Linked DNA regions of Macaca fascicularis. The protein of the gene in region 2 purifies or fractionates together with the protein of the main gene of each other region. This does not show direct contact. Links are inferred from orthologs where the notes say so. Each region holds a gene or a part of one and is shown on either strand. Other genes may lie near its edges.

Region 1 (4,302 bases), on a different chromosome or scaffold from region 2:
TGTCTTGTAAGCTCTGGGGTTGATTTTAGGAATCTTACAAACCATCAGAGTAAAGTGACTCTCAGAATACCAGCACAGGTATCTACCAAAAAAAGGTATCTCAAGAACTTCCATATTTGCAGGACTGAGTGGAGATGTTTCATTCTTAGATTCCATCTCTACAAAGAATGAAGGGATGTCTAGGGCCAAGGCATTCTGAAGACCTTTATGGTATCTAAGTGTTGATGACGGTGGTGGGGTCTCAGTTCGGTCCCTGGCACAGGTGCTCTGTGCTGGGTCCTCAGAGAGCTCTAACCTGAGCCACCATGCTGGTGACATCGCCGGGATTGGAGGGCAGTAGGATAGTGTTGGAGTCCTTGGCCAGTTTGGAGAACGCGCTGACATACTGCTCGGCCACAGTCAGTGAAGCTGCTGCATCTCCATTCTGTGACCACAGGGGGATAAAAATCAGAGATTATAGATACGGAGAAGAAGGGGTGGATGGGGAATGAAGAAAGCAGTTCACAATAAAAAGGACTATGTAATCTGGTTCAACAGAGCCCACAGAGGCAGGAACTCTCCTTAAGCATAGATAAGAGAACCCCTTCCACTGTCAATTCCTGTCCCCCATTCCCACCCAGGGGCCTCTCACATGTTGTGTCAGAGCTGCAGCCAGGATTCGAATAGCTTCAGCTTTAGCCTTGGCCTTGGCTAGAACTGCACTGGCCTCTCCTGCAAGAGAAGGGACAGAGCTTGCTTGACCCATGAAGTCAAAGTACCCAAAGATTCTGCCCCAGCACCAATCTTCAAAGGCCCATGCCTTGCTCCTCCCTCAGCCTCTACCCTCTCCTGACCTGCTGCCTGATTTATCTGTTCAGCCTTTTCTGCTTCGGAGGCCAGGATCTGGGCCTGTTTCTTCCCCTCTGCCACATTGATGGCCGACTCTCGGGTCCCCTCAGACTCTAGAACTGTGGCCCGTTTCCGCCGCTCTGCCTCCACCTGGAAGCCCGCAACAATCCCAATCAACAAGCCAAGGGAAAGTTATACAGACCTGCAACTCTACCCATCATAACAGGAGGGAAGTCTGGATCCTCCTGGGACTGGAGCACCCTGAGGTCCTTTTCCTACCCCTCCTTGGCTCCCACCTGCATCTGCATAGACTCTTTCACCCGGGGTGGCACATGGATATCCTTGATCTCATAACGGAGGCAGCGGATACCCCAGCAGTCAGCAGCTTGGTTGATAGCATCCACAATGCTGGCATTCAGGGACTCCCGTTCCTGGAAAAAGAGAGGCATAAGCCCCACAGCTTCAACTTACCTATCAAGGGCCTACACTGAGAAGGGCCTGGGACTGATCTTGACCTTCAGAAAAGATTGAGTGTCAGGTTTGTGTCTTCAAACCCTAACTCTGGCTCAGATCTGCTTACCCGGAAGACTTTGTCCAGAGAGAGTTTGCCGAGCTCTGATCTCATGGTTGTTTGAGCTAGCTGGGTGACGGCATACTCAGGGTCCTCCACACCATAGCTTGCCTGAAACGGACACGGATAGTGTAAGAAGCTTGGGCACAAGATTTTAGTGAAGAGGGCAACTGAAAAGGCTAGATAAAGTAGGGGGCAGATACCTTGTAAGGGTCCATGATGCGCAGGTAAAGGACTCCATCAATTTGCAGAGTTACATTGTCTGTAGAACCAGGAGAGAAAAGGAGGAAAGTCAGGCCTCTAGGTCCCAACCAGTTCTCTCTCCTAAGCTGTGGATCTACAGCAACCACATCCTAATAGCCTCAGAGCACCCATGTCACCCTGAACCCCTCACCGAGAGTCACAGCCGACTGCTCAGGCACGTTGATGACAATTTCCTTGAGACTCTGCACATATCGGATCCGGTCTAACACAGGGATGAGGATGTTCAAACCCTGGGAAGAGGAGTCATGGGTCCTCAGAAGGATGGGAACTATTGGGTTGAGACCTAAGCTAGTCCTGGAGTATGTAGGGAGTCAACACATGGAACATGCCCAGAAAAGCAGCAGCTGCTACCAAGAAATAAGTCCTCATAAGGCTGAAGTGTCACTGGTAAGAAAACCCAAGAGAATAGGAATGCAAGACTAGGCCCCTGAATGGAAGGGAGGGTCATGAGAATCGGAGCTGGCAGAATAGCCATCTCAATGCAGACTGAGAGGTAGGGCTGAGAGAGTGGGCAGAGGAGATTCCCAAGAATGGGGACTGTGAGATGCATAGGAAAAGGTGGTAACATGGGGATGATGGTCAGCAGCCTCGGCCCTGTCAGGTCTGGCCTACAGAGTCGGGAGCTAACAGTGCGGGCAGGCCCAAAAGAGGTCCTCCCGACACTCCATGTCGTGAGGGATTGGTCATCTGGCTGGCCCAGGATGGGCAGAAGAGGTTCTCACAGGCTCCAGGATCCGGTGGAATCGGCCCATTCGCTCCACCACCCAGGCCTCCTGCTGCGGCACGAACAGTACCACGGTGTTTCGGGGCAATCCAGAGGAGGCGCGGCGCGGAGCGCGACCAGAAGCCTGCAGAGAGCCCTGAAAGAAAGAAGAGGGTGAGCAGAGATCCCATCTGGCCAAACACGCCGCCCCTCGGTCCTGAAGGTATCTCCATAAACCACGACCCTCAGGATCCTCGGAGAGAGAATCACATGGGGACCATGACCTCTGACCCCAGTCCTCTCCGAAAGTTGGAAGTTCGCTCTTTCCCAGCGGAGGACCCAGGTGATCTCTATCCCGACCCTCTGGATAGGTTGCCTCGCTCTCACCCTCAGCAAAAGGGCCCCAGTGCCCCGCGCCGCGCGCGCCAGCATTTCCCACCGCCGCAGCGACCTCCGGAACCAACGAGACGAGCGGAGCGGTAGCTCCCAGAAGCCTACCCGAGCCTTTCCTCTTGCAGTTCCGCTCCCCCGAATGTACTTCCGGCCGTTCCCTACTCCCTTCAACACTCACCCAATCAGCGTTACTTGGTCGAACGGCGCATCAAGTTGTTCCCTGGGAAACGCAGACCTTCAAGAGAAGGCCGAAGGCTGCCGTTGTTCTGGGTTTAGCTGTTCGCGACCAAGATCCCCGGCCTGATGGCCAAATTATTTTTCGCGTGCATATCACTCAGACACCACGCACTGAATTCTTCACCCTCACCCGAGACTCAGTTTGCCCACCAGAGCGTAGAATCGCGCCCATCCGTCACCATAGCGACGAGTGGATTGAGCTGACTCGTTGCCATGGTTGCCATAGTGACATTCTATAGTAGTCCCGCGGTGTTGTGCCCAGGACTCCCACTGGGGACTGACCCCAATCCCGTTGCCATGGAAACTGGGCCTAACATTGCCTGGCGATTGGGACGAGATTTTCCCCTCCCCTCTTTCCTCAAAGACACTACAGCTCCTTCCCTCTCTTTCCAAGCAAGGTTTGTTATGCCCGGTCTTAAATACCGAGTCCGGCAAACAGCCTCAACGTTCAACCTTGTCTGGAGCACGTCACCTTGCACACATCCCTGATGTTCTGGTAGTCAAGAGACCTCCGTAGTCACCTCCATTTTACATATGAGGGCACTGAAGTTCTGAAGGGCTAAAGTCATTAACAGAACCAGTATCAGAATCCTGATCTACAATTCAGAATTCAGCTTCTAGGACTCAACTTTACCCACCAACTCCTCCGAAAGGAGCAAGACCAGGCCCCAGGAATCAGCAGGGGCTAGCCTAAGACCTCATGGGCCCAGGCCTGTTGCCTCCTCTCTGGTAGAAAGGGCTGAGTCCCAGCTCCAGGAAGGCCCTCTATCCCCCTTCGCACCCTCTCCCCAACAACAACAACAACAAAAGTAGAGCTTAGTTCAAGTTTCCAAACAAGAATTTATTCTTTCTTTTTTAATCTTTTTTTTTTCTAAAAAAAAGTACCAGGTACAATTTTTTCCTGTTTCTGATTTGCTTTGTTTTTTCAAGTTTCAGCAAATGCTTGTTCCCCTCAGCCCAGCCTCAGGAGTCAGGACTGAGGCTGGGTCAGAGTCTGGAGTGGGGAATGGGGTAATTTGGAACCACATGACTGAGTTTGAGGGGTGCCCCTCACCCCAGCTGAGGTAGGTGGGTCAGAGTCTGGCCAGGTGAGTGGAGGCACCCCAGTGCTTGGCCCTGACTCTGCCCCCTGGACACCTTCTTCAGTCAGGACCCCAAAGCAAGGAGACACAGGCAGGAGGAGAGGGACAACTGGAGTCTGGAGCCCTAGGTGAGGGGTGGTTAACCCCTGTGTGTGTGCATACATGTACACTCTCTCACACACACACACCACACAAAGACAAGCTCGTGTACACACACAAACGCC
Region 2 (3,589 bases):
CTTTCCCTAGCGATGCACGGGAGAACTGAACAGGAAGCACTTTACCTCACTGCCCGAACAAATCACTCCAAATGATTTTTCCCAGAGAATCTAGAAACACGACCCTTCCCCTCACCCTCCTCAACCTGAAACGCTATCCTGCCTGTATTGCTTTCTGTCTGAGTTATGACATCCAATGTCATATAAACACACAAGCTACAGTGTCTCAGGAGGATAGCTTACGCCTCAGAGATGTCCCTTGCCCCCTATACCAGGCCTGGGGGAATCGAACCATTCGTTTACACTCTATCACCTTTCACTAGGGTTCCCAGAACTTCCATCACTAAGCTTCGGACCGTAAGTGTTAGGAAACTCCCAGGGGTCAGGCTGGGAGGTCTGTGCTAGGGATAAAGACTACCCGAGCTGTTCTCTGGTCTCTACCAGACAGTTTCTGCCTGTGTCAAACAGGGTTAACAAGGCATCACTTTCTGGGTAACACAGTTTGGAGAACGTAAAACGTTTAGTGGTTAGGGACTATCTGGATACAACCAGAGGTCATAAGAAAAATGTGTGTGGCAGGGGGAAGGCAAAAGAACCCTCAACTGAAAAACCCACAGAGACTGCCTCGTCTCAACATGTTTCCGTGTTTTCAAGCCTCACATCTAGCAAAGCAGAAGCAGGGACCTAATAGCGTCTGCCCAGAAATGGAGCCAGGCACCTAACGAGACCTGCAGCCCCTTCCCCTCCGTCTCCCGAAGGATCTTACCAAGGACACGTCATCCAGGATGAGCCCAAAGGTGGCTGCTCGCTCTGTAAGATCGTCGCTCACCTGCCTGGAGACCAGCTCTCTCTGGGTGATTAGTTCTCCAGCATCAAAGCGAGCCTAGTTTCAAAGGGAGGAGCAGAAGGGCAGGTCAGGTTAATGAGGAAGCAGAAAAGGAACCAGGAAACTGCAGCCACATCCCAATCAACCCACTGCCAAGCGCTTCCTGCCACCTGGCACCCTTCTGGGGAGGTGCTCTGGGCTTGAGGCTAAGGGCCCCTGTTCACTCACCACCACTGACTTGAGGATCTCGGTCGTGATGGACGGCAGCACACGCTCATCATAGTCCTCTCCGATGCTGGTGAAGATGCGAGGAAGCTGGCTAGCGACGGGCCGGAAGAGGATGCGCAGTGTGATGTTGACATTCTGTAAATCTTAGGGTAGGGGACAAACACTGGAGTTAAAAATAAAAACCACTGTAGGAAAACAAGTGCTTTTTAAAAAATTTTTCCTTTTTTTGAGACGGAGTTTTGCTCTTGTTGCCCAGGCCGGAGTACAATGGGACGATCTCGGCTCACAGGAACCTCCACCTCAGGTTCAAGCGATTCTCCTGCCTCGGCCTCCCAAATAGCTGCGATTACAGGCACACGCCACCATGCCCAGCTAATTCTGTATTTTTAGTAGAGACGGGGTGTCACCATGTCAGGCTGGTGTCAAACTCCTGACCTCAGGTGATCCACCTGCTTCAGCCTCCCAAAGTGCTGGGATTAAAGGTGTGAGCTACCGCGCCTAGCCACAAGTGGTCTTTTATATGGCCTCTCCTACTCCAATTTGCTACAATTTTTATTTATGTATTTTGAGACAGGGTCACATGTTGCCCAGGCTGAAGTGCAGTGGCAAGATCAAGGCTCACTGTAGCCGCCTTGACCTCCTGGGCTCAACTGATCCTCCTACCTACACCTTCCAAGTAGTTGGGACTACACAGGCACATACCACCACACCCAGTAATCTTTGTACTTTTTGTAGAGCTGGAGTTTCGCCATGTTTCCCAGGCTGGTCTCAAACTCCTGGGCTCAAGTGATCCACCTGCCTCAGCCTCCCACAATGCTAGAATTATAGGTGTGAGCCATTATGCCTGGTAATTTTTATTTTTTATTTTTAGAGACAAGGTCTTGCTATGTGGCCCAGGCTAGACTCAAGTTCCTGGGCTTAAGCATTTCTCCTGCCTCAGCCTCTTGAGTAGCTGACACGCACCACTGTGCCTGGCTCCAAATTGGCTACAATTTATAAGCAAATCTGCTGATTATAAGATCCTAGAGGGCAAGGAATAGGTATGCCTGGTTTCCTTGGCAGAGAACCCAACAGAGCATCACAAAGAGTTTATAATTTCTTAGAACATTCAGTGATAGCAGCTTTTTGGTATCCCCTGAATGCCCTCAGATACACGTAATTCAGATTATATGTCTACCAGGCGCCATGTAACGCTTGCAACACTGAACATTTTAAGACAATAGACAGGCCAATGCTAAGAATTGTAGGGTGAGGCCTTTTCAAGCTCTGGTGATTGTGGCCAAGTCAGGAGTCAGCCTTGGAGAGGTTAGTTTGGGTCTGGTGGAAACCGTGTTAGACTAGTAGTCCAAAGATCTGGGCTATTTACTAATGATGTGGCCTCTCTAAGCCTTAGCCAACCTGAGCTTATTTCCTTGTCTATGAGAATGAGGACAACTTCATTTGCTTTCTGGGCCTTGAGGAAATGTTGGGGAAAACTGAAGGAAAAAACAGTCAAAAAGCACTCTGTCAAATGTGTAACACATATAAGGGGTTAATAGACCCATCTATGTTCTGCTTCTCATTACTTGGGCCAGTTAAAGGATCCAGGGAGAGAATTATACCTTCCCCTGGACAATTCAGGCCTGCAGGGAGCCAAAGCACTGTCATGGCTTGCTTACAGACGTCAACAATATGGACCAAGCGCCCATGAGACAGAGCCCTGAACTGTGCACCAAGAGAGGTGGGCAATGTATTAATACCGACAACTCCCTGATATCTAGAAGCGCCTATCAATAGTTTTAGAAATAGGTACATAATGTATCCTGAAAACAACTGCAAAACAGTACAGAAAGAAATCCCAAAGAGGTGGGAAGTTTAGAAGCAGGCTTTTTTTTTTTTTTTGAGACAGAATCTCACTCTGTTGCCCAGGCTGCAGTAAAGTGGCATGATCTCAGTTCACTGCAACCTCCGTTCCCCAGGTTCAAGCGATTCTCCTGCCTCAGCCTCCTGAGTAGCTGGGATTACAGGCACCCCCCACCACCGGCTAATTTTTGTATTTTTAGGTGAGACAGCGTTTCACCACATTGGCCAGGCTGGTCTCGAACTCCTGACCTCAGGTGCTCCACCTGCCTTGGCCTCCCAAAGTGCTGGGATTACAGGCATGAGCCACTGCAGCCAGCCATAAGTGGATATTTCTAAGATTCCATATTGAACTCTCCAGGGCAAGTAGTCCAGTCATTCCTGTGATGTACAGTCCAAACTCTTTTGGATCCTGGTATCCCACAGATGCTCCGGCAACACAAAAGAGCAGAGCACCTCTTCCACACTCCCTACTTTACCTGAACCACAGGCAAGACTCACCTTTGCTACCAGTGATGACCGGCACATTACGTGGTCGAGAACGGCAGTCAAAGATAATTGGTTTCTGTACCCATGGGATGAGAAAGTGAGTCCCTTCCCCTACCACAATGTCCTGTACTCCACGGAACCGGTCAAAGATGACAGCTCTGTGCCCAGCATCCACTAGGAAGAAAGGATAATGACATGTCATAAAAATCTTCTCATCCTTTAAACAAA

Evidence for each region.
Region 1: the proteins of PHB1 (region 2) and STOML2 purify together in Homo sapiens (affinity purification with western blotting; 3 studies listed by BioGRID, with this or other methods). This does not show direct contact. The link is inferred for Macaca fascicularis from reciprocal best matches to the Homo sapiens genes PHB1 and STOML2.

Annotation. Positions count from the first base shown.
Region 1 is NC_088389.1:64,326,135-64,330,436, reverse strand, and holds the start of STOML2 (stomatin-like protein 2, mitochondrial), read right to left. Parts: upstream 2,836-4,302; 5' UTR 2,799-2,835; coding exon 2,754-2,798; intron 2,524-2,753; coding exon 2,386-2,523; intron 1,894-2,385; coding exon 1,794-1,893; intron 1,662-1,793; coding exon 1,603-1,661; intron 1,511-1,602; coding exon 1,409-1,510; intron 1,260-1,408; coding exon 1,125-1,259; intron 979-1,124; coding exon 834-978; intron 712-833; coding exon 632-711; intron 425-631; coding exon 296-424; intron 1-295. UniProt on the Homo sapiens protein: Mitochondrial protein that probably regulates the biogenesis and the activity of mitochondria.
Region 2 is NC_088390.1:57,300,797-57,304,385, reverse strand, and holds part of PHB1 (prohibitin 1), read right to left. Parts: intron 3,536-3,589; coding exon 3,374-3,535; intron 1,177-3,373; coding exon 1,034-1,176; intron 863-1,033; coding exon 746-862; intron 1-745.